Arabidopsis thaliana: one gene and its partners. The protein of the gene in region 2 interacts with the protein of the main gene of each other region in a pairwise test. Each region holds a gene or a part of one and is shown on either strand. Other genes may lie near its edges. The genes, in order: ROXY1, TGA9 and ROXY2.

Region 1 (6,766 bases), on a different chromosome or scaffold from region 2:
TCCGTATGATTCATTTGTGTCTATCCCATTCCTTAATCACTGATTTATTTACTCTATTTCCATTTCTTTTTTTGTTCCTCTTATATTTTACAACGATATATACAATTAATATTTTATTTACACGATAAATTACTTCGAAATATACTAAACACAATTGTGAATATTCAGTTTGACCATTGTTTAGTACTAATTATACTAAACAATATTTCAGTTTTATAAAAGAAAGCTTTCTGAATGAGGAGGCTTGGATTGATATATAGTTATAACTTTGGTGTCGATCGGCATTATTATATTTATACTATATTTTTTTGTTAAATATTATATTTAAAACTATTTACTACGACTTTTGTTACTCGGTTATATATTTTTGTTCCAATATTAACTACGATAAAAGCTTAGAACATTAATTTCCTAGATTAACTATGCACATATATGTAGCGGTAAACAACTGTATATAATAAATGAATTGGGATATACAAATGTTGTGAAGCCTAAGTTAATTATTAGGTGGCAATGAGGGATAAACGCAGTTCGTGAATGTGTGTATCAGACTATCAGTGCGATAAACAAACAATTAAAATAAAAAAACAATAATAAGTGAAATCTTATGTTGTAAACAGACAAAAACTTGTGGTCGACAAAAAATAATAGAGGGCCATGCACCTGCATGCAGAACAACATATCGACGTATATCTCGATGAAATACTTTTATCTTTTGGTGAAATAATAAGATAGTTAGTGTTAGTGATAAAGATGAGTGGGATTGCAGTTTGCATGGGCTTAGGGTTATATACTAATTATAAATGAGGATTTTTAGGGGAATTCGTGAGCACTCCCACAATACCCTCACCGCCTTTTCGCCGCGACACCGACATGCGATATCTTCCTTTTTCTTTTGCCTTCTTTTTTGTTTTTACGTTTTCCATTTATTTTTTTACTAACTAAAGCTTTTTGGAAATTCAATATACATTATAACATATATACATGTTCCATAGCATATACAGCTACACCACGCGCATACATAGGCACAGATATGTACCTTCCTCTGTATCAGTGTATTACAGATATATATGAGCCAGCTGTTTGTATATATATAATATATACATTGTTTTATAACCCGTAGGGACATATCTTGGTCAGGTGTTGGAATCAGACTCGGACCATTATACTTCGACGATAGAACTCTCTAAAGCTTATTTTAGGGTTTAGTTCAAACCCCACCTTTCATCTCCCTATCGGCTTTGTTTCACCGTAAGAGGTAAAAAAAAAACGAAATTTGAAAATATAAAAATATGAAATGAAGATATATTTATAACAAAGCACAACATTAATATTGTGCAAAGAGAGACATACACACAGATATTTATAAATGGCAAAGACCAGATAAAGCTGAAAAGATAGCATCACGCTCGTATTCTTTCTATTTTTTATTTTGATATCAATTTATATATTTTGTTGTACTAATTAATATAGGCCAGAGGGCTCTCGTTTCCTGCCATCTAACCCTACCCGTCCGATCGATCAAAATCTCTTTTTTTTTTTTCTTTTTCTCTCTAAAATGTTTTTTTTTACAAGAAGAAAATCATCTTTTTATTGATAATCATAAAACGAAAGATTTTTAAAGTTTTGTATAATGTTAGCCTTGTATATACATATTTAAACTTTGAAGAATAAAAAAAAAAGCCAAAAACAGAAAAGAGCTAGATCAATATACAAAGGAATAAGGAATGTTCAAAGTTTCAAGTTTCAGGCGTTGAATACGAACTTCAGAAATGTTCAAAATACCCTTATTGAAAAGCATGTACATACGCTACTCGAAAGGGTTAATATCGGAGAATCGGTTGAACAGATCAAACATTGTATGACAAGTGTTACGTAAGTCTTCTGTCAGGAAAACTAGATTTTTAAAAAAAAAATCAAAAATCAAAGGTAAAGCGATCCGACAACCACAATCCGACAAGATTATTTATCTTTTACGATTTCTCATGCAAAGATTTTTTTCCAGAAAAGAAATACATGAGTTTAAACACTAAAAGAAGTAACTTTCTTTTTCAGCTAGAGGGAGCATAACTGTACGGACTTCTCTTACTATATTCAATATACATATAAAATCTTCTCTTCCATCAATCCTTCGTTTTAAATCTCATTTTAAGATTTAATTTATTGTGGAGCTCAAACCTGAGACACACAAAAAAGGCATTTCGTGTATAAAGGACACAAGCGTGGAAGCCAAAAGCATGTCACAAACTACAAACTTTGTAAACTTTGAAGAAAAAAAAAAAAGGCTTTTTCTATATAAAATTGTTCAAATTTTAATATTGTTATAATTAAACCCATCCAAATTAATTCATGGGTGCTGTTCTTATAAAATATGTACACATCATAATTCTCGAGTCATAATTCTTTTTCTATATATATAAGGAGGATGCTATTAATCTGGATAAGAAACATAAGATTCTGACTCCTTAACAAATTATGATGTGATGATTACACATTTGCTGGATTGATGATTACTCGGTCGTATGGAATTATATATTTTACAGAGTAGAATGGAATAAAAGAAAAACCCTGCCAAAATCCATATTGTACAGATTGAGGGAGCTTATCTACGTGGAAATTATGGTTTCTTACTTTATGATCATGTATCTGAAAATACAAAGAAAGAAAAAGAGAGAATTAAGTGGTAAGAAAATTAATGGTGAGAGCGGTAAGAGCCGACAAGAAGGACAGACGGAGCCGTCTATTACCAACAACTCCCTTCTGATAAAAGCCTGTTCTTCAACTCTCCTTGCCTTTTTTTTTTTTTTTACAAAAAAATGAAATTATTCCGATAACTATTATCGGTGTTTGTTTTCAACAGCAATCACTATCTTGATGTCATCGGTTTTAATTCATATGTTTTGTTACTTTTTTTCTTTTTTTCATGGAGAAGTAAATAGAGGTCATGTTATTATACACAAATAATAAAGAAAGAAACAATAATACTAATAATTAGAGGAAAACAGAGTTAGACTCAGAGGTGTAGTAGGCCTCTATAAATACTCTGCATGGCTCTCACTCTCTTCTCACCAACAAACTTTAGCCAATCCCTCTTTCTCTCTTATTCGTGTTTAATCTAGTTTCTTTCCAAACAAAAGTGTAACAAGAGAAAGAGAAGAGATATCAAAGATGCAATACCAGACAGAATCGTGGGGATCATACAAGATGAGCAGCTTAGGATTCGGCGGTTTGGGGATGGTGGCTGACACTGGTCTGCTTCGTATAGAGTCCCTGGCTTCTGAGAGCGCGGTGGTGATCTTCAGCGTGAGCACGTGCTGCATGTGCCACGCCGTGAAGGGTCTCTTCAGAGGAATGGGCGTCAGCCCCGCCGTCCACGAGCTCGACCTCCACCCCTACGGCGGCGACATCCAGCGAGCCCTCATTCGTCTCCTCGGCTGCTCCGGCTCCTCTTCTCCAGGGTCTCTCCCGGTCGTCTTCATCGGCGGTAAACTGGTTGGAGCTATGGACAGAGTCATGGCTTCTCACATAAACGGCTCTCTCGTTCCTCTTCTCAAAGACGCCGGCGCTCTCTGGCTCTGATCCCTTCCTCTGCTTTCTTTTTTCTTTTCTATTTGAAGTTTTCTTGTAAGAGAATGTGGTGGAGGAAGATTAGGAAACTAGTCAATGGCTGTAATGACAGGTTTTAGATTATAGTTTGTAATTAGAGAGAGAGTTGTTTTAAGCTCACCTTTCTCTGTCTTCCTCTTCTTCATCTCTTATTGATCTTTCGAATGCTCTCATTAAATCATAATAGTAAACACTTTGCATCTTTATTAATGTCCCCTGGATCCATTAATCAACGGTATTAACTGACGCCGTATCTATTCAAAGGCAGTTCCTGTTATTTTGTTCACACAAATTTACACACAAGGGACTTGTTGAGAGGGGATCGCTACGATCAGCTTAAATGATGCCCTACTCTGTCTAACCTATACAAAGCACACACACACTCTATGACTATGAGTGAGATAGGTGAAGCTTGAAGCTACTTGGGTTTGAAGATGTTACTTAGCAAATACCCCATTGTAGTTGTTTCGTGCGAAGGCCTGCTTGTACCAAGAACAGAGCAATGCTCCTTCTCCTTCTTCTTCACCTTCAGCTTGCTTACTCCTATCTGTTGTCTGATTGACTCCACGATTTTTGATTCAACCGGGTTTCCAGTCACGTCTGTAACGTAGAACGTGTCTTTAGCCTTACCCTCTCGCGTTGATATCTCTGCTCTCACAATGGTTAAGCTGTTCTCTCGGAATGTTCTGGTTATGTCTGAGAGAAGACCAACTCGGTCTTCTGCTGATAATTCCAGCTCTAAACCCTGAAAGTATGTTTCATATGCACAATCTGTCTTGAGTATATCAGAAATCGATGCAGAACAGAATGTAATTTGAGCCAAGACAGAGAATTTTCACATTCCTAATTGGTTACCTCCGATGCTCTCCTCTCAATGGCTGCTTCCAGACATTGTATGACACGTTCTTGCTCTGCTTCTGAGTTTATGGGAAGTCCATCCACATGACGGATGTAAAATTCCTGCAGCAAAACACTCATATTATTGTTAGAAGAGAGATCCCAACAGACGGCCGTTGAGTAGTTACCTGATAAGCCTCCACTGGTTCTGTGCTGACCATGCCATGGAACACCACATACTGCATATCAGTCAAAGTACAGACTACGTCAAACACAAGCTTTGGTCTATCTTTGGACCTCATGGTAACAACGGTATAATCCTTCTCAATGTTCATTAGTGTGACACTGGGCCTTGACGCCGATGTCCTTGCTCTTTTGACTCCCTCGTAGTCCCTATCATCAAACATGATCTGATGCAACCGTCTCTCCCTGTGTGTATCAGAACAAGAGAAGACTGTTTTCGCAGCTCTTGAGCCGCTGTTTGTCCTCACTACATTGCACAGCAGCTCCTTGATGGTGGAAAGGCGAATCGGGTCAGTAATGGCAGAATGAGTTGAATTGTCCGTGACATGAATAACCGCTGCAGCTCTGGTGTTGTGAGTCCATATCTCAGCGTTCACAACGTTGCAGTGAAGGTCTGTGAGAACAGCAGATACTTCAGACAAGAGACCGGGTCTGTCAGTTCCAGCGAGCTCAATGGATGTGTATTCGTCAGTGGGCATTACACCAACTGAGCTTCTCAAAGGTGGAATGAACCACCCAGCGTTGCTCTCTATCCTCTGCGCAATGAATTCAACAAACGTTTTACACAAAGAAAAAAACCTGTTGAAAATGAAAGAAAAAAAGTGATGAAATACATTAGAAACCTTTTGGATATAGTCAAGGACTTGAGTGTCTCTGATCTTATTGCCATCTTGGTCGATGACTTTGAAAACGTCCATGAACCAACCTCCATCGGAAGAGATGTAAGCTTTCTTGATCACAAGATTCATATCAGTGAGCACTTGTACTACTTCCAATAGAGTCCCATGTTTGTTCACACTATCAACCTTTTATTTAGCACCACAAACAAACAGGGAACTCTGTTTTCTCAAAATCTCTTTGTTTGGTACAGAACCACTTGAACAATTTGAAGAGACAGATTTATTTACCTGAATAACAGTGGCATCGTCGCTTGCGTTGTTGTCTATTACAACTCTGTATCCACCATGAAACATACATAAATAAAGATGAATGTTTTAGCAGCTGGAATCTTTACAAGGGTATAGAGGCTCACAAACGGAGCATGGAGAAACAGAGGACCTAGAAAACAATAAAAGAGTATGGAGAGAAAGAGAAAAACCTGGGAGGATTCATTCTCCTGATGAGCTTGGCATATTCATCATCATCCATGGTTGTAGTATGTATCTCCTTGGTGATTTGGCTGCAGCAGAAACCCAGAAGAGTGTGAGTCCTCCAATTTCTGAGGAAAATTCCTAAAAGAGAGAGGGAGAGGGAAGTTGAAGGAGGATAAAAATGGTAGGCCACCGGAACCGAACCTTGTTTTCATTAGTTGATCGAGCACGTGCCACTAAAGATTCTTAGAGATGACGTGGCACGGGCACAGCAACTTTTAGATTCTGTTATAATTGTTCGAATACTACCAAAAGTCGGGTGAAGATTTGGGGTCAATTTGATGATCATAAAGGGGATTATATTCTCCTTCTCAAGCAAGATGTGGTATTTACTAGTATAATAGATCATTCGTTATCTTGAGGTAGACCTCTCCGTAACGTTCACAGGTGCATGACCAAGTAACAATTTGATTCCTTTCCAGCATAACGTCATGTTGGTTGCAAAAAGAAGGCAAAGTAGAGCAAGCAAGCAAGCAAAGCATTTTTCTTATTTTATATTTTGTTGCGGATTCCACCACCCACTTGAAAAATTGACATGTCACAATGATTTCGTATCCTAGTCTTTTATTATTTAACACTCTCACAATCCCATTACTCTACACCTCTTTCATTAAGTCAACACACGGTTTTCAAAAATCCACTACCCTCCCACCACCTAGAATCTTTTGTTACCTACCAACACCCTCCTTTGTTCTCTTTATATATTGGTCCAACTAAATCAATAAGGGAAAGCATCCTTTTGGTTGGAGGAATTGCTTTCATTCTCACTCTTTGTGTGTTGATCAATGGACTAGCTAATAACAAGTTCCTCCTCTATATATTTCAAAAGAATGGAACAGAAACATAAACGAAAGACAGAGTACCTGATGTTGATGATTCATTGTCTGTCTGGAGCTCCCAAATGCCTTTTATGCTTACATATTCATAAC
Region 2 (11,446 bases):
GCTTTCTAAGTCTCTCTATCTCTCCTCTCGCAAAACCTGAGTCTTCTTCTCGCTCTGTGTTGAGACTTTTTGGGGAATGTGATGGAAGAAGGAAGCAGAGAAGAGATTATGGGATAAAGGAATTGGTAATGGCCGGCAACGAACTTGGGTTAATAAAAAAGAAAAGGTTGGCAAGTTACACGTTACAAGAGAGGATGTTGCAGAGAGAAAGATTGAGTGGCGATGAAGAAAAGGGTTAGGAGGAAGGTGCGACGTGGGAATCACTCACTTCCTTATTTGATTTCCAAGTCTTTTATTCATTTTTATATTTAAGCATAACAAGTAGTATTAGAGTGGGTTTTACTCCCCCCTATTTGATAACATCTGTCTCTCTTACTTTTTCTGTATATATGACGTATCTACTGTATTTCTTTTTAACAAGTTTATATTACCCTTTTATGAATTCTAACAAAACAAAAAAAAGTGTGAAAAAAAAAAAACAGAAAAAAACTCTTATCCTTTGAGGCTTTCAGTTTGACCCCAACAAAATAAAATAAAATTACACCATTAACCAAGGTTAAATTACATCAATTGCAGATCTTTGTACCATTGCTACAATCTAACAGCCCAAACGAATATGGGCCTGAAGCAAACCAAATAAGGATGTGGCCCATTTTTACATCATATGACTGTTACCGAATCAGAAAGTCAATGACAATAATGGAAAATATGCAAATTTGACAATTTTCACCCAAGATAATGGTTGTTGAAGAAAATTACACAGGATGAAACATTTAGGCCACGAAGTTTTGAATATTAGGGTTTTGGGCCTCTCGGCTTGTTGGACTTTTTAGATCATGCTAGACCAAAACCGACTACACTATTTTGAGTAAGTAATTCAAAAATCCCAATTCGTTAGAAAACGAGCTTGAGTAGTTGTCCCAAAGTGATTGATCATTGATGTCTACATAATAATATGCATCCTCCATATAAGATTATGGCCGGTATTGGGCTGAGATGGTAATCTAAACATTATTTTGATGCCTTGATGGACAAATTAATATTGAGATTCTATAAAAGCTTAACCGTGAGTTATATACTTCTACCGAACCCAAAAAAAGCATCTAAAGAGCCGTGAAAAATAAATTCTCAATTCGGAGGGGGTCATTATGACACAAACTAAAGGAATAAAGCCATGACAAATGTGGATTTGCAAGAGAGCTGCATTGACTAAAACAGCTATACGAATCAAAGGAGGCATATAACAATTTCTAATAAAGGAAAGGAATCTGAAATGTGGCATTAGGATTTAGGTGATGACAGGGAGTGGATGTTGACCGATCAACAAAATTATAGGATAATACCAAACTAATCAATTTAAATAACACTCGATTGAGATGTTTACAATAATTATTGATAATTTTAATGCTATTTTCTATATTTATTTACGATTAATGCAAGAAGGCCGTTTAATTTTATCTTATTGGTCTACATAATTGTCATTATTCTAAGGCTTTTTTGGTTGAACTGGTAGAGGCAAAATAGTTAATTATTCAATACTTAAGTATGTTAGGTTAACCGACTAGAGAAAGTTGCTCTAGTTCTATTATATCCAAATTTGAAACTTAAAGCCTAAAAGCTGTTAATTTTTGAGAAGAAGAAAAAACTTTCAGAAACTGTTTCACATATTATCACTCTCGGCTTTCAAAAGGTTATAGACTGAAGATGAAACTAAAAAAAAATCTGTAATTATGTATAGTGTGTTACATATAAGTAGACGTATTATATTCATACTATTCTTATCCCTCTCTCTGTCTCAAAGGTCATTTAACAAAAAGAGTTGTAGTTTAGAAATAGAAACTCACTCGATTCTGCTATTTTAATATACATACACAAATCAACAAACATTCCTTATCCCACATTAATGCATTGTCTTTGATTATGAATTTATGATTATGTGTATTAACATTATTTCATCACTATCTCTAGTACTATTCCAATAACAAACTCATTAGATCATCCAAATAATATATATAATTTAGCTTAAACTATAGCTGGGGAGTTGTATTCGATCATTTAGTTATAGTATATATTTGTTTACTAGACTAAAGATATATATATCATTTTTTTTTTGGCAAAAATATAAAGTATATGCTGTATATATCATGCCCATTCAAAGATTCTTGATATAATTCTAGAATTTTCCTGTTAGTTTTCTTTTGGTTTTAGATTAACACACAGACTACTTAGAAAAAATAACTTCATGCATGATCCATGCTGCTAAGATGATAGAGTGAAACCCAATTCTTTTATGCAAATTTCACCACTTTACTTTCACATATACAGATACGTATTTTGATATAGGCATGTACGTGAATACGATGAATAATACTACAGAAAAGATGATAGATTATTGAAAAAATGTGTACGTGAATAAGCCCAAAAAGAGATTTGATGAAAAAGAGCCAATAAGCACAAACAGGCGGTTACAAAGAGAGAGAGAGAGATTGTGGAGTAGGAGTCAGTGATTCTAGTGGGTTCCTCCTCTTTTTCTGCTCTCTTTCTTCTATTTTTATTTTATGGACTAAATTACAAACTCTCATTTAATTTTCTTCTCGCTCAATTTTTTTCTACCTAGAGAAGTCGATAGTTTTCTTAATAATCTACCTCCATTTTCTTGTGATCGGTCCAATTAATCTTATATCCAATCATCTTATTTATCTTCTACATATTGGATAAGGCTCTTTTATTCTTTACCAAAGATAAAGCTCCATTCTTTTTCTTAACAAGGATAAAGCTCTTTTAATTAAGCACTCTTAGACTTTTGATTTTCTGTTTAACTTCTACATTTCAGGTTTGTGTATGAATAGAGATCGTCCACTCCATCTGATCAATTGCCAAGTACTAGCTTCACCCTTGACAGCTATAAAGTTAGTCAACTAAATTTTCAATTTTCTGTACAACTTTTTTGAACCCAATATTATTATTTGGAAAACAAAAAAAAATGCAACACATAAATATAGCCTGGAGACAAAGTCTAGGAAGGACAAGATCTTCGTCTGATTTACCATGAAAAATTATCAATATTTCTTTATTGTTTTCTTCAATAAAATTTTGAAATTTAGCAAGTGGAATTTGTGTTTACTATGGAAATAGATAGAGAAAGGTGGTGAAAAGGAGAGAGTGATGATGAATCACAAAGGTTTCTTCACATACAAGTATAGAGAGAATAGTAATAAAGAGAGAAAGAGTAATGATACTATACATTAGTCAATTACTAATACTTTATTATCATTTCTCTATCCAACTACAAATATATACACGCCCACATAATTTTGTATATGTATCTCGGAAAGAGAAAAGATTGGACCCTCTTTTGTTTTTCTGTTCAGCCATAAAAAAGCCTTTGACGAGAAAGCTTCCATTCTACTTTCTCTCTCTCCTCTTTGTTCTCAAACACCAAAAGCAAAACATCACAAAAGGTAAACACATAGATATCTTACTTTCATGTTCATATCATCAACTAGCTTTTTCTTTTCAAATTCCAATCATTTGATCAACTAATCAAGAATTAATTATAAGACTTTGCAATCTCTCTCCCTCTCCCTCTCCCTAGCTAGTTCTCTCTTGTGTTTCTTAACTCGAGCTTCTCTCAATAGTGATTATCATCTTTTTCATCATTTCAAGATTTAATGTGTTTTGCAGAAAAGAGACTAATCAAGAAGAGATATCATCAATTGAAGCTGTTTTCTTGAGTAGAGATGGCGAACCATAGAATGAGCGAAGCTACAAACCATAACCACAATCATCATCTTCCTTATTCACTTATTCATGGTCTCAACAACAATCATCCATCTTCTGGTTTCATGTAATTAACAAATCTTCCTTCGTCTTTTCTTCTTTACATATACATAAAGCTCAACTTTATTCATATTACATATCTTAATATTGAGCTCTAATTGAATTTTATATGGGTTTTCTTTGTTTATTCTCAATTTGTCATTTTCTTAGTAGTATTATGATATGTTATACGGTTTCATTTATGAGATATGAAATGGTCAACGGAAATCTATAGGTAAAACAGAAACTAAAAAATGTGTTATGGATCATCCGAAATAGGTTTTATATGTGCTTTAGCTTTTGTGTAAACTTTCATTATATGCGACCGTCTTTATTAATCTTCTAACTCAAAATGCGACCCTCTAATCAAGTATTTATATTTTAATTTAATTGTTGTTCCTTTTGGTCTCCAATTTTTCTTGGTTTCTGATTGTATAGTTGTAGTAACACATGATGAATATTCTCTTTGTACTAATTAAACAATACTATTAATAAATGAAACAGTAACCAAGATGGATCGTCCAGTTTCGATTTTGGAGAGCTAGAAGAAGCAATTGTTCTGCAAGGTGTCAAGTATAGGAACGAGGAAGCCAAGCCACGTAAGCCCCCCTCTCTCTCTCAAATCTTCATGACGTGAGCTTTCCTTAACAAACTCCAATAAAGTTTTTAAAATTCTGAGCAAAAAACTGAAACTGGAAAAAACAAAATAAAAAGCTGAGAGTAGTCTGAACAAGTCTTTAGATAGGTTTAGGTGATGATACGGAGGCAAAAGAGAGCCTTGGATGGCGTGACTTGTTTTTCTATTTCTCTTCTCTTTATTTAGAAAATAAGAAAAGAAGAAAATATCTTTTACCAACTCCCTAACTTCCTCTATATCAAAATATTCATAATTATACTATTAGTAAAATGTGTCATGTTATATATAGATTCCACGTGATAAATGATGTAGTTAGTTCTAAGTAGAATATATTGTAGTACTACTTAAATTACATCAAAAACACATATACATGCATGCACACATTTAATAAGTAGCTAGCATACTACATGATTACATATGAACATTACATATCTGATAAATGTAATGATGGGTAAAATTGCAGCTTTATTAGGAGGAGGAGGAGGAGCTACGACTCTGGAGATGTTCCCTTCGTGGCCAATCAGAACTCACCAAACTCTTCCTACTGTACCCTTTCTTCTTCTTTGACCCTTTCCTCTTGTTTTTTTCTCCTTTTTCGGCATTCCTATTTAAACTTAAAACTTATATTTTCATTTTACCCTCACTTTTATATACATGTTTCAGCTTTCTTGTTCCTCTTACTATCTCTTATTTTTGCTTCTTTCAACTCAAAAGCTGATAGCGATTTTAGAGTAGTTAATTACTCCATTCCTTTCTCTTGACTTTATTTTATATTACATAAACTTATAGTACCCCGTTTGTCAAATTATATACGCTAAGGTCAATTCCTCCTTAGTTACATTGATTATCCCTTTTCTGACTTTTTATTAATTATCTTATACGTTAATGATGATGAGTATGATTATGTTGAATATGTATTGCAGGAGAGTTCCAAGTCAGGAGGAGAGAGCAGCGATTCAGGATCGGCTAATTTCTCCGGCAAAGCTGAAAGTCAACAACCGGAGTCTCCTATGAGTAGCAAACATCATCTCATGCTTCAACCTCATCATAATAACATGGCAAACTCAAGTTCAACATCTGGACTTCCTTCCACTTCTCGAACTTTAGCTCCTCCTAAACCTTCGGAAGATAAGGTACTCATCATCATCATCATCATCATCATCATCATCATCACTTTTTAAAATTTAATTTTAGAAAGAGATATATGCATGGTACGTACTTGGAGTCATCATGAAACATGCATGCTTAATTTGGTGCATGTACATGGTATGTATATCATTAGCCTATCTCTCTCTCTCCTTGTCATTTGATAGATATGCATGCACATGCTTTTTCATATATGTCTATGTCCTAACAAATCTTTCCAATAAAACAAAAACATACACAGATCCCAAAAAGGAAACGGATCAGAGAAAATTCAGAATTTTGACCTCTCGAATCGTTGATAAAATAATGAAAACAGACAAATTTAAAATACAAATTATTAAATGAAATCCCCAAAAAGCGGAATAAAGCAGAAGAATCTTCCTAGGTGTTATTATTGTTTTTATAATTTACTTTTTACTACATGATTACATATCCTCATTTCTATGTTTACTTTAACAACACATATATTCCCTAAATGAGTTCATATTGCTTAGATTTAATATTACATTAAAAAAAAGTATTTAATAATGCTGTTTTTTTAATTGTGTGTAAATGGTATTTAAATATTTATCACATGAGTCGACTTCACTCACACAATTTAATTTATGTTTACTTTCTTTCCACTGAATGAATTTCTATTTTCATCTCTGTTCTCTGACATTGCAGAGGAAGGCTACAACTTCAGGCAAACAGCTTGATGCTAAGGTACTTTAACTTTCATCATCATCATTTCCTATACATTTTATTTGACTCCCCCGAGGAGACATATCCATTCCTATATATGTACTTACTTTTTAGTAACCTTTTTTACCTGAATTAATTCGTTAACTTCTTGTTTAAATGTTCTTAAATCTGGATTATGCAGACGTTGAGACGTTTGGCCCAAAATAGAGAAGCTGCTCGCAAAAGCCGTCTTAGGAAAAAGGTATGACCATATAATTGCCTGACTTTTCACCTCAAATTATTATCATTTGTTTTTGTTTTTTTGACCTATTTATATATTCTTTGCTACTTTTTCCAAATGATAATTTGTTGCATAGAATTACAATAATGCTATTGCTACTAGTAAAACATACGCAGTGGTGTCTTTTATTCTTCTTGGAAACCGCTGTTACATGAGCATTTATTTCTTTATCTACCATTTACCAGTCTTCTATAATTCATTTATGAACGTATAAGTTCCGCATTTCTTGTTATTCTATATGTAATGATACTAGTATGAAAATAACAAATGCATATACATATGGTTTGAGCAGGCGTATGTGCAACAGCTAGAATCAAGTAGGATAAAGCTTTCCCAATTGGAGCAAGAACTTCAGCGAGCTCGTTCTCAGGTTGAAATTGAATCATTTATATTCCTATAATCCTATATATTCTGCTAAATCTTTTTTTAAATTTGTCAAAACCTGTCATTTGCTAAGTTTCTCAATTGTTCATTGGTTATTAATAATGTCTGTTTGTTGAAATTAATATATTGTTTATGTCGATGGTAGGGGCTGTTCATGGGTGGTTGTGGACCACCAGGACCTAACATCACTTCCGGTACTTGAAACCTAAAACACCAATTGCAATGTATTATTGTATTAAAATAAGTACAATAATGGTTAAACTATTATTAACAAAATGTTGAAAATCGAATGTACGTAGGAGCTGCAATATTTGACATGGAATATGGGAGATGGCTAGAGGATGATAACCGGCATATGTCGGAGATTCGAACCGGTCTTCAGGCTCATTTATCTGACAATGATTTAAGGTTGATCGTTGACGGTTACATTGCTCATTTTGATGAGATATTCCGATTAAAAGCCGTGGCAGCGAAAGCCGATGTTTTTCACCTCATCATTGGGACATGGATGTCCCCAGCCGAACGTTGTTTTATTTGGATGGCTGGTTTCCGTCCATCCGACCTAATCAAGGTTCGACTTGTTCTTCCTTACTTTACCCCATGATTACAAACGTAAGTTTTAGGTTTTGCGTTTGAAAAACAAAATGATATTCACGTTAGTAAATTACATCAACAAATCTGAAACATTGCTGCAAAATGTAAACAGAAATGAGTATTCTTCGGTTTAATTATTTGCGTGTGATAAAAAAGTTGTGGAATCATGATTAACTAAAGAAAGGGATGTGATCTTAGATATTGGTGTCGCAAATGGATCTATTGACGGAGCAACAACTGATGGGAATATATAGCCTACAACACTCGTCGCAACAAGCAGAGGAGGCTCTCTCGCAAGGCCTCGAACAACTTCAGCAATCTCTCATCGATACTCTCGCCGCATCTCCAGTCATTGACGGAATGCAACAAATGGCTGTCGCTCTCGGAAAGATCTCTAATCTCGAAGGCTTTATCCGCCAGGTTCCATTTTCTCACCTATCTTTTTTTTTTTTTTACTTCATTTGCTCGAACAATAATTACAAACGAATGCAAACGAGAGAAAAAAACACCGTGTGAAATATACACAAAATTTGACCTACTATATAACTGTAGATAGTTTTTGACTAAACAAAATTTGCAACGTATTTTGGTTTATAGTTAGAGAGGAATTCGAATATATTTTTTAGAAATATATTGGGTAAATTTTAACGTTTTATATATATACTAGATGTACAAATGTTTAAAAATGCGGAAATACGTGCATATATTTTGCGTACATATATGAACAAACGTATGTGCTGGCTAAATTATCTAATTGAAAAAAAAACAAATAATCCAGAAACAGACAATACGTGAAAGCAACATTTGATGTTCTATAATAATTATATGTTGTTTTGGTCTTTGATTTAATTATTCCAAGAGCCAAATTTCTTTCACCAACTTGTTTTTACCTTTTATATATAATATAGCTGAAAAAAAGACAAAGAGAATATGTTAAAAGTATTCTCCATCTCTTTCAATGTTTTGTTTTGAACTCAACAAAAATATTTTAAAAAAATTTCTTGTTTTCAAACATTATGATCAAATTGATTGTTATTGATATGTATTGACTTTTGTAATACCCATTAGCCCACCAAGGTAGTAAGTAGGTATGCAATTATAATTATTAGTTTTTAATAATATTACCAAAAGAAATATTGAAATAATCTTAAAATGTCAAAAGATGTGATTACTAACTGTAATCTTTTTCTTTCTATTATTAATCTAAATGAAGGCTGATAACTTGAGGCAGCAGACCGTTCACCAGCTGAGGCGGATCTTGACCGTCCGACAAGCTGCACGGTGTTTCCTAGTCATCGGAGAGTACTATGGACGGCTCAGAGCTCTTAGCTCCCTTTGGTTGTCACGCCCACGAGAGTAAGACACATTTTTATGCATATATACATTTCATAGACGTATAATAATGCTAAAATATGAATTTGATATCGGGAATTATCAATGTGAATAGGACACTGATGAGTGATGAAACCTCTTGTCAAACGACGACGGATTTGCAGATTGTTCAGTCATCTCGGAACCACTTCTCCAATTTCTGAATGGAATGAAACTTTGTATAACTAAAAGGCCAAGTTTCATTGTCTGTCGTAATTTCACCTATTTCCTTTAAAGTTGTACTAGAGAAAAGATAGGATCTTCCTTCGACATTCTTCTTTTAATTATAGTTTTATGCTACTATGAAATTAACGTACCACGAAAAAAATGAATGTTGAATCTCTTCGACAGTACAAGAGGATGACTGAAATTTAATTTCACGAATGCTTTGGAGAGGATGACTGAAATTTAATTTCAATTATTTTCAATTTTAAACAGAAACGTAAATATCTCTACAAGTACAAGAACAAGAGCATGAATTTTTTTCGTACGATCAAGTTTTTCTTATGGAATAAAGATCTGACACATGTTCCTGAATCCTGGATAAAGAAGTACAATTCTGGTATAAAAAGACAAAGTTGTACCTTTTTGTTGACGAAAGAAAAAAGTTAAGACCTTTAATTCCCACTTAGATGAATTATCAATGACTCTTTCATTCTTGTTTACTCTTTAATACAATTAATACAAGTGGCTTGTTCAACAAAAAGTCGTAACTCCATCATCCAATAAACGATAATTAGGGTTTGAAGATAAAGATAAAAAACAGAGAATTGTTCTCTATTTCATCAAAATCTTCTCAATGGAAACAGCAAAGCGTAGAACCATGTCAACAATCGTCTCCAGGCTTAGCTCTGTCTCTGAGCAAACCAGAGCCGCTGCTTTAGCTGAGCTTAGACTCATCTCCAAACAAGATCCTGATAGCCGTCTAATCATCGCCGACGCCGGAGCTATTCCGTACCTCGCCGAGACTCTTTACTCGTCGTCACACTCTTCTCAGGAAAACGCCGCCGCGACTCTCCTCAACCTCTCAATCACCTCTCGCGAACCCCTAATGTCTTCACGCGGCTTACTCGACGCGCTTTCTCACGCGCTTCGTCATCACGACACCACCACTTCCCCCGCCGCGGTTCAATCCTCCGCCGCTACGATTTATAGCCTTTTGATAGCCGAAGAGTCTTACCGACCTATCATCGGATCTAAGCGCGATATCATCTTCTCCCTCATTCACATCATTAGATATCCAGATTCGCATCCTCGATCGATCAAAGACTCGCTCAAGGCACTCTTCGCGATCGCTCTGTATCCGATGAACCGATCGACGATGATCTCTCTCGGCGCGATTCCGGCTCTGTTTTCGCTGATCGTGAAAGATTCGCGGTGCGGGATCGTTGAAGATGCGACGGCGGTTATGGCGCAAGTCGCTGGATGCGAAGATAGCGAGGACGGGATGAGGAGAGTTTCAGGAGCTAACGTTCTAGCGGATCTGTTAGATCCTTGCACTGGTTCGAGCCTACGGATCAAAGAGAACTCCGTTGGTGCGCTTTTGAATCTGGCGAGATGTGGAGGAGCTGCAGCGAGGTCTGAAGTTGCGGCGGCGGTTGCGTCTGGTGCTGATGAAGGAGCCATGGAAGGGATCGTGTATGTAGCTGAGAATGGTAGTCTGAAAGGAAGGAAGAAAGCGGTTGATCTGTTGAAGCTCGTTGTCTCCGGTAATGGCGGCGGCGATTCACGTTTTGATTATTTGTTCAATGAAAATCCAAATAGCAGAAGCAGCTGATTGCACAAATATCTCAAATGTTACTTTGTTTCACTAATACATTCATTGATTCAAACACTTTATATTATACACATATATATTGTCATTGTACAATGTACACTTTGAACATACTTTGTTTTGTAGAACTGAATCAATCAATCAAACACAGAATCTGTTACAAATCAATTTATTTTATACAGCTTTTGTTGTTCTTCCTTGAGCAATAGTGCACGTAGAATCGTATCGCAAATGCCATCGTAGTGTACGATCAGATGTCCGCCTTGGGGGATTTCGTGGTAGTTGATCAAAGGTTGTTTCTGCAGAATGCATCTTTGAAGTTGAAATGGAACAACTTTGTCTTCCTTACCATGCCAGATGTGAATATAGCTCTTTGTACTGATGCTTAGATCCGCGGGTTCGAAGTCCCATTGCCCGAAACAAACCATAAAATCGTCCCTTAGAGTATCGAAAACATTTCTTTCCCGTAGCTTTTCCTGTAAGGTAGAGATATATAATCATGCCAAAGCTGATCAATCACAACAAACTGAAGAAAACTAGGAGTGACCTTAGTAAGCATGGGAAAACCAGTTTTTCGCTTGAGCACTTCTATGTCGTGGCTGTTGAAGTAGACCGGATTGCTTTCAAGGACCGAACTAGTTGAAGCGAAGAGCTTTTGAATGATCCACCAATGTAACAGTCCAGGTGCATATTTTGATATCCTCAAACCCCATTTGATAATACCTGTCCTATAATCTTTTTTGATTAGCTTCTTCGG
Region 3 (7,116 bases), on a different chromosome or scaffold from region 2:
CATAGGAAATGTTCAGAAATCCTCACTCATATTAGAGAAGGTGAGTGAGAGTAACATGTCTTGTGTTCTCTTTTGAATTTTGAAGTTTTAATTTAGTGGGAATGGAATGAATGACAAAACAGGTGTTCCAAGTATTTAGAAGCAATGGAGTGAATGTGCAGATGATCTCGCAGGGTGCATCTAAGGTTAGATGGAATCCGCTGCTACATGATAGTGAATGAATATGGTTTACTTATGGTTATAGTGAATGGGGATATGTGTGTGTGTGTGTGTGTGTTTCAGGTAAACATCTCATTGATAGTGAATGATGAAGAGGCAGAGCAATGTGTGAGGGCTCTCCACTCCGCCTTCTTTGAGACCGATCCTTAGTGCAACACAGAGCACCCATCTCTCTCCTTCAACTCTGCTTCTGTGCGTAGTTTAATGCTAAGAATGTGTCAAGACTTGGAACTATTTCAAATTCTTGTCCATTGTTGTTGTTGTTGTTGTTGTTGTTGTGATACAATACATCATAATTTGAGCCAAAGCCTATAATCTTTTAATTTAAAGAGTACATAGACAAGCTCAAAAAGAAATAAAGAAATAACCAGTGTGTTGAGTAGGGATTCAGATTTAAAGCTTAGTTTTTAGGATTTAAGATTTGGTTTTATGACATAAGGTTTACAATTATTAGTCAATGGTAATTATACTATTTTGTTCACAAGAATTAAGATATAAATTAGTTTCTTCATTTTGACATCAGTATATTTTCATAATTTCTTCTTGTCAACAAAAGAAGAAAAAAGAAAAAGAAAAACAAATTCAGTATAGAAGAGAAAGTGAGCATTGAAGGAGCAGGCTTAGGCCAACTCCAATGGGACTCTAAAACACCATTTTAGTGTAATTTTTGCACTAAAAGCTCTCCAATGGAACTCTAAAATTCACACCATTTTAGTGTAATGCTACAGTGTTACATCAAATTTGGTGTGATACTATTCACAACTCTAAACACTATTCACTTATTATATCAATAAAAATTCAATTAACAAATATAAAATTACAAATGATTAATAGATATAAAATATAAAAATGAATGGATACATTAATATATTATATCTCTTGAAATAGTTTATTTAGTTATGATATTTTTATATTATTATGTATGAAAATACTCAAAATAGTTACAATTTTATGTATTTTTAAATATATATTTCAATATACTATGTTTATAATGTTATGTAATTCTATACTAGTAATAAATACTAATCAAAACTATTAAATAATAAAAGAAATCTTTTAAATAGATAATATAATAGTATATATTTTTTTTAGTATGATTTTTGGTGTTATGGTCGGAAAAAACACAAGTTTTAGTGCTAAAAATGATGTAATTTGAACACCAAAATGGTGTTGAGCCTTGAAGATGCCCTTAGAAAGTAAAGAAACACTTTAAATGATACCGAAAATACCCTTCCTGAAAAGCATAAGCAACAGTTACTTGACCAGGGTCATATCCGACCGACCAGCCGGTCAACGAGAAATACACATCTGATGAAATCTGTTACGTAAGGCTTCTGTAACGGCCTTCCAATTTTTTCCATATAATATATGATAAAGTGGTCCGACAAACGCAATCCCTCAAAGATTGTTATTTTATCATCATCTTAAGAACAAAGATTTAGTCCTCCAAATCATATAAATCAGCTTTAATTAGTTTATACACCAAATCTTAAACCAATGAAGGGACATTTAACTCTTCGGACTCACTTAAACTATATATACCCATATCTTAAGCTTTCTTTTATTTTCTTAAAAAGTAACAGAAATGTTCTCAAATAGATCGATGTATAGAATATGAATAATTTAGGGATATTATTCATATATAATCAATCGATGAGAGGTGACTCTATATTGCAGATTGGGTACCTACAAATTTCATAACAAGTTGTTTGTGCTGACAACGATAAATGTTTTTATTTTAGCATTTTTCCTTTTTATGGAAGGGGTTGGTCAAACATGAGAAACAAGAAGGCAAATTTTGCAGATAACAAAAGGAAGGCAGAAGCATGCATGAAAGCCAAAAAAGCATGTGACCAACTTTGTAAAATTCAACCTTTTTTCTCAGCCTTTTGGTAAAATTATCTACAAATCCAAACTATATATATATGGAACTATACATTTTTGTCTAACTGAATTCACAACATTTAATAATCATATATAAAGAAAAAGATGGTAGCAAACCAAGAACACATGCCAACTTGTAATTTCCATACATCAAGAACACTGACATTCTGATGGTAAGCAACTAAACACTGTTGGCAACTACAATCTCTTTTAAAAGTTCATTCTCAAGAATATTGATGACTCCTTTATTTCTTTTTATATAACATTAACTAGCCAATTTTCTATATCCCATTAGGGGCTAAGAATAATAAAATGGTTACGAAATTCGATCTTGATCACCAAAAGATATTCCAACTTGTATATATGTTTAGCGCTACATTTGTGAGATGCTAATTGGATTACACAATCCAAAATATATATTCCACTCCTTTTGCGATCATATTGATAATGGTATTATATGTAGCTTGTTTATAGAGATTGATTAGAGAGGATTTGAGAGCATAAAGTGAATACGGAATATAATGGAAAACCACCGGCCATATATCCAAACATTCGACCTCATCTCTGCGTTACGACTTGCTCACATAATGTTGGCAGCATCAAATTTATTATTCGGCGCGTCTCTATATACAATATATATATATACACATGAATATTGGACCATTTGTATTTATATATATGCATATATTGGACCATTTGTATTTGATAATATTGGACCAATTTCGCAGACAAAAACTAGCTAGCTAGTGTAAATGTGTAAGAAGATATTACAGAAAAAGCCGACAAGAAGGATAGATATATCCATTACCAACAATTCCCTTATTCTACTAACCTATTTAACTGAATAATATTCTACTTTTATATGGTTGTAAAATCTTGAAAAAATAAATAATTATACTTAAATGGGACTCAAATGTCTCTTAAAAATATCATCCTATCATAACAAAAGCTAGCAACCATGATGGTCCATGACTATCACATCAATAACTTTGTTATCATTTGGCATATCCTCTCTAATAATATGCCATTTTAAAATAAATTAAAACCTACCAGTTAAATTTAGAACTTCACCATGTATAAATACTCTGCATGCCTCTCACTCTCTCCCCAACCAACTCTCACACAAATTCTCTCGCTCTCTCACTCTCTTATTCTCTTTCTCTTTTTCTCTAAGAATACAAAAAAAGATGCAATACAAAACAGAAACTCGAGGGTCGTTGTCCTACAACAACAACAGTAAGGTGATGAACAACATGAATGTGTTTCCGTCGGAGACACTGGCGAAGATAGAGTCGATGGCGGCAGAGAATGCGGTGGTTATATTCAGCGTGAGCACTTGCTGCATGTGCCATGCCATCAAGCGTCTCTTCCGTGGAATGGGCGTCAGCCCCGCCGTCCACGAGCTCGACCTCCTCCCTTACGGAGTTGAAATCCACCGAGCTCTCCTCCGTCTCCTTGGCTGTTCCAGCGGTGGCGCCACATCTCCGGGGGCACTTCCGGTGGTGTTCATCGGAGGGAAGATGGTAGGAGCAATGGAGAGAGTGATGGCTTCACATATCAATGGCTCACTCGTCCCTCTTCTCAAAGATGCTGGCGCTCTTTGGCTCTGATGAGTGCTAATCTCATCCTCCAAATATCAACCTTTGGTTTATCTTTGGTTTTTAAGGACAGAAGAAATAGGTTAATCCCAGTGTTGAATTAGAGACAGTGAGAGAGAAGAGTGATGCGTTTGTTTTAAGCTTAGCTCTTTGTCTATCTTAAATCACACTAATATATAAATGTTAACTAATCGCTATGTCTCTTGTTAGCTTTCTTATCTCTAATTTTACAATTTGACAGTTGATTTGCAAAATTTAATGGTCATTTTTCACAAATAAAAATTTGCCATGAAAATAAAATAAAATTAAAGGTCAAACTAAGACAAGAACGAGGAGGTTATTTTCATGACCTAAAATCTTAACCGTTATAACTGTTAACTTGTGGGGGAAATAATCACCTCATGAGGGGTCCCCACTCCAGATTACGTGGAGACCCACTAACAATAATCCGTGATTTTGACCCGACCGTTGCGTCAAGAAGAGCCCGTACATGATCATCCAATAACGTCACTGATTTTACAGCTATCAATTCCTTCCTAATTCATTTTTGCTTTTAAAAAACAAATTAGAGAACACTTCTTCAGTCATTCATATTTCATACAATCACATGTCACCTTTTCTTTGTTTTTTCTTCTTCTCAAAGTTGTAAGAAAACTACAATTACAAGGTCACATTATCTGAGTTTGGAAGGTTTTTAAACATTTCACTTCCATTACAACTTTAAAGGGCTCATCAATTACCATGATGAGTAAAAGAAGGAACTAAATAGCATATATACCTTGAGATAAGTTATACTCATTAGAATAATTCTTACGTAGACAATAAACGACTCGTAACGTGTAAGTCACCCAGAGATCTTGATTACAGCAGTATAGGAATCTACACAGAATAAAGGGAAATACAATTTGGGGAATCTAATCTAATTGCCTATTGGTGTAATTATGTGTTCTCAATTGCTCGAATAAATGGAAGAATGGAATCAGGATCAGATGATGAACAGAAAGACGCCAACAGGTCAGAAGATATTGTGTGAACAAGAGATGGCGATACCTCTTTGATCCATTGCATATGTCTAATTCCAATCTCAACCTCTTTCGCATCCGCCACACATTTCAGCAACACGACATGTGCTCCTGTGTGTTCTAAGTGTTCTCTCTCGCGCAGCAGCTGCGATGCCTCACCAGAATGGCCTTCACACATACACACCAAACGAATCAATAAATATCTTGACATGAGGCAATTGGAAAAGACTAGAAGACATATTTGTTCTCTCTCACCGTTGCTGCATAGATTTAAGACAAACTCGCTTAATACTCTTCTTGTAACTGTTTTATGATCCCTCTCCATGCACTTTCTGAAAACTTCCATAGCAGCTTCAATTTTTGTCTCCTTGCATAGGCCTTCAATGAGTGACATATAGATTGTTTCATCTGGTTCTATCCCTCTCTCAAGCATCTTGTCAAACAGCCTTAAAGACTCCTCTGCCTCGCCTTCCTCTGATAATTTCCTAATAAGTACATTATATGTCGTCAGATTCATTTTGCAGCCCTCCACAAACATCTCATCCCACAGTTTCTTTGCTGGACGGATCATTTCCGCTTTGCAACAAGCTTCAATGAGAGCGTTATAGAGTGAAACGTCTGGAGCAAGCCCTTCCTTCTTCATTTCTTGCAGAGCAGTGTAACTTTCTCTGACTCTCCCAGCCTTGCACAAGAACGATATCATCAGACTGTAACTCTGAAGTTCTGAGAAATAACCTTTGCTTGACAAAAGCTCATAAGCCTTTATCAGATGATCACTCTTGTCATGCCTGCAAAGATTCTTACTTAACTTGCTCAGAGTCCGAATAGCAGGCAATTTCCCTGTGCTGACCATGTAAACTAAGAATTCAACAGCAGAATCTGGATCAACTGCAGAGACAGATCCAATCAACGCGTCTAAGATATCATTATCCATAGGGAATTTTCCACTCACAATCACCTCAGCCACTTCCTTAGCCTCCGTTAATCGCTTAGCTGAAATCAAATCCAGAATAAAAGCTCGGTAATCGCTGCTCCTAGGTGCTACTCCGAGCTTTCTCTTCTTCTTTAAAACAACCTGTCTCTCATACAGATTCCCAGTAACTACAAACGCTTCAGCTATGACCCTATAAGCCATAAAATCCGGTTTGCAATCTATGTTCCTTAGCTCTTCCAATATATAAAAAGCATCCATTTCTCGTGAACACTTACAAAGACTATGGAGAATCAACAGTGCAATGATTGAGCCATTGATATTCAAATTAGCCTTTTTAACCTCATCCACCAATCTCAAGAGCTGATTCGTTTCAGAACTTCTACAGAACCATCCTATATAGACACCGAATCCAAGAGTGTTCAACGAAACACCTTTATGACGCATTTTAACAAACAGTTTCTGTGCATAATCATAACATCCATCAGAAGTTAAACCAGCTAAAAGACGATTGCATACATCGGGATGAATCTCCTGACCCGTTGAAAAAGCTTCTTCTAAAACCCAAAACGCACTCTGAGCTTTCCTACCCAGCACAAGCGTATCAATGAGGGAGCGATACACGGAAGAATCGAGAAGGATTTTGTTCGATTTAACCTGTTTGAAAAGAGCGTCCATGGCGGAGAACTGACGAGAAAGCGAAAGAGACTTGAAGATAGAGTGGTAAGATATGGAGTCGTGAGAGTAACCTGGTTGCTGAGCAGCCCAATTGAAGAAACCGAGAGCAAGAGAATGATGATTCAGCAGAAACGGGTCTATGACTCGAGCCACAAGCGAAGGGCTTATTGAGTGACGAAAACCGAGACCGTGAAGACTCTGTTCAATCAATGGACTCCATATCCGAGCAGCTCGAGAGCTTCCGGAAACTTTTAGCAGCTCTCGGCCGATCCTCACCGCAAGCTCCGTCGCAGGTCTCATGGCCGAGAAGCTGACGTCAACATTTTCAGGGAGTCGCTGACAAGTTGGAGAAATCGAATTTGGTTAATGAGTCCATTAGTTAGAAGTCAAACTCATACTGGCCCAGTCCAAAAAGTGATTTTTAGTGACCCAAAACTTTGCATACGAGATTAATCCTTATTACTTGCCCATTTTTGGCCCATCAAATATCTGCATACACACAGTAAATGTCGTTCAATTGTTTACATGAGAATTGAGAAGTTTCCTAGAGGAAAATGACAACAATTCACAACCAGACATGACAACAACAACCTCACTTTTTGGTAATTTTGCAGATGGGGTCTATAGGAGTGACCCACTAAAAGAATAAGAAGAAAAGAAAGAAACCATTACATGTTTTACGGTTTCAGTAATTAAATTTTTGTTTTAAAAAGAGAATATATTATCTCTACTTGGGAATAATGTCGACTGGGAGATACAATAAGGAAAGTGAAAATATAGGATA

The links.
Region 1: the proteins of TGA9 (region 2) and ROXY1 interact in a two-hybrid assay, tested with the Arabidopsis thaliana proteins (one study listed by BioGRID).
Region 3: the proteins of TGA9 (region 2) and ROXY2 interact in a two-hybrid assay, tested with the Arabidopsis thaliana proteins (one study listed by BioGRID).

Annotation. Positions count from the first base shown.
Region 1 is NC_003074.8:329,325-336,090, reverse strand, and holds ROXY1 (Thioredoxin superfamily protein), read left to right. Parts: upstream 1-3,018; 5' UTR 3,019-3,168; coding exon 3,169-3,579; 3' UTR 3,580-3,816; downstream 3,817-6,766. Other genes in the region: ACR6 (ACT domain repeat 6), read right to left, coding at 4,025-4,351, 4,462-4,566, 4,632-5,222, 5,310-5,492, 5,595-5,640, 5,786-5,866, 5,982-5,992. UniProt on the Arabidopsis thaliana protein: Has a glutathione-disulfide oxidoreductase activity in the presence of NADPH and glutathione reductase. Reduces low molecular weight disulfides and proteins.
Region 2 is NC_003070.9:2,619,746-2,631,191, reverse strand, and holds TGA9 (bZIP transcription factor family protein), read left to right. Parts: upstream 1-2,597; 5' UTR 2,598-2,909; intron 2,910-3,263; exon of another isoform or gene 3,264-3,371; 5' UTR 3,372-3,461; intron 3,462-3,470; exon of another isoform or gene 3,471-3,684; 5' UTR 3,685-3,740; coding exon 3,741-3,847; intron 3,848-4,323; coding exon 4,324-4,418; intron 4,419-4,919; coding exon 4,920-5,002; exon of another isoform or gene 5,003-5,379; coding exon 5,380-5,589; intron 5,590-6,268; coding exon 6,269-6,307; intron 6,308-6,467; coding exon 6,468-6,527; intron 6,528-6,858; coding exon 6,859-6,936; intron 6,937-7,095; coding exon 7,096-7,144; intron 7,145-7,249; coding exon 7,250-7,521; intron 7,522-7,742; coding exon 7,743-7,964; intron 7,965-8,757; coding exon 8,758-8,900; intron 8,901-8,991; coding exon 8,992-9,079; 3' UTR 9,080-9,332; downstream 9,333-11,446. Other genes in the region: AT1G08315 (ARM repeat superfamily protein), read left to right, coding at 9,715-10,692; AT1G08310 (alpha/beta-Hydrolases superfamily protein), read right to left, coding at 10,854-11,165, 11,237-11,446. UniProt on the Arabidopsis thaliana protein: Together with TGA10, basic leucine-zipper transcription factor required for anther development, probably via the activation of SPL expression in anthers and via the regulation of genes with functions in early and middle tapetal development.
Region 3 is NC_003076.8:4,538,625-4,545,740, forward strand, and holds ROXY2 (Thioredoxin superfamily protein), read left to right. Parts: upstream 1-3,155; 5' UTR 3,156-3,290; coding exon 3,291-3,713; 3' UTR 3,714-3,961; downstream 3,962-7,116. Other genes in the region: CARAB-AK-LYS (Aspartate kinase family protein), read left to right, coding at 1-40, 123-185, 283-369; AT5G14080 (Tetratricopeptide repeat (TPR)-like superfamily protein), read right to left, coding at 4,641-4,891, 4,979-6,632.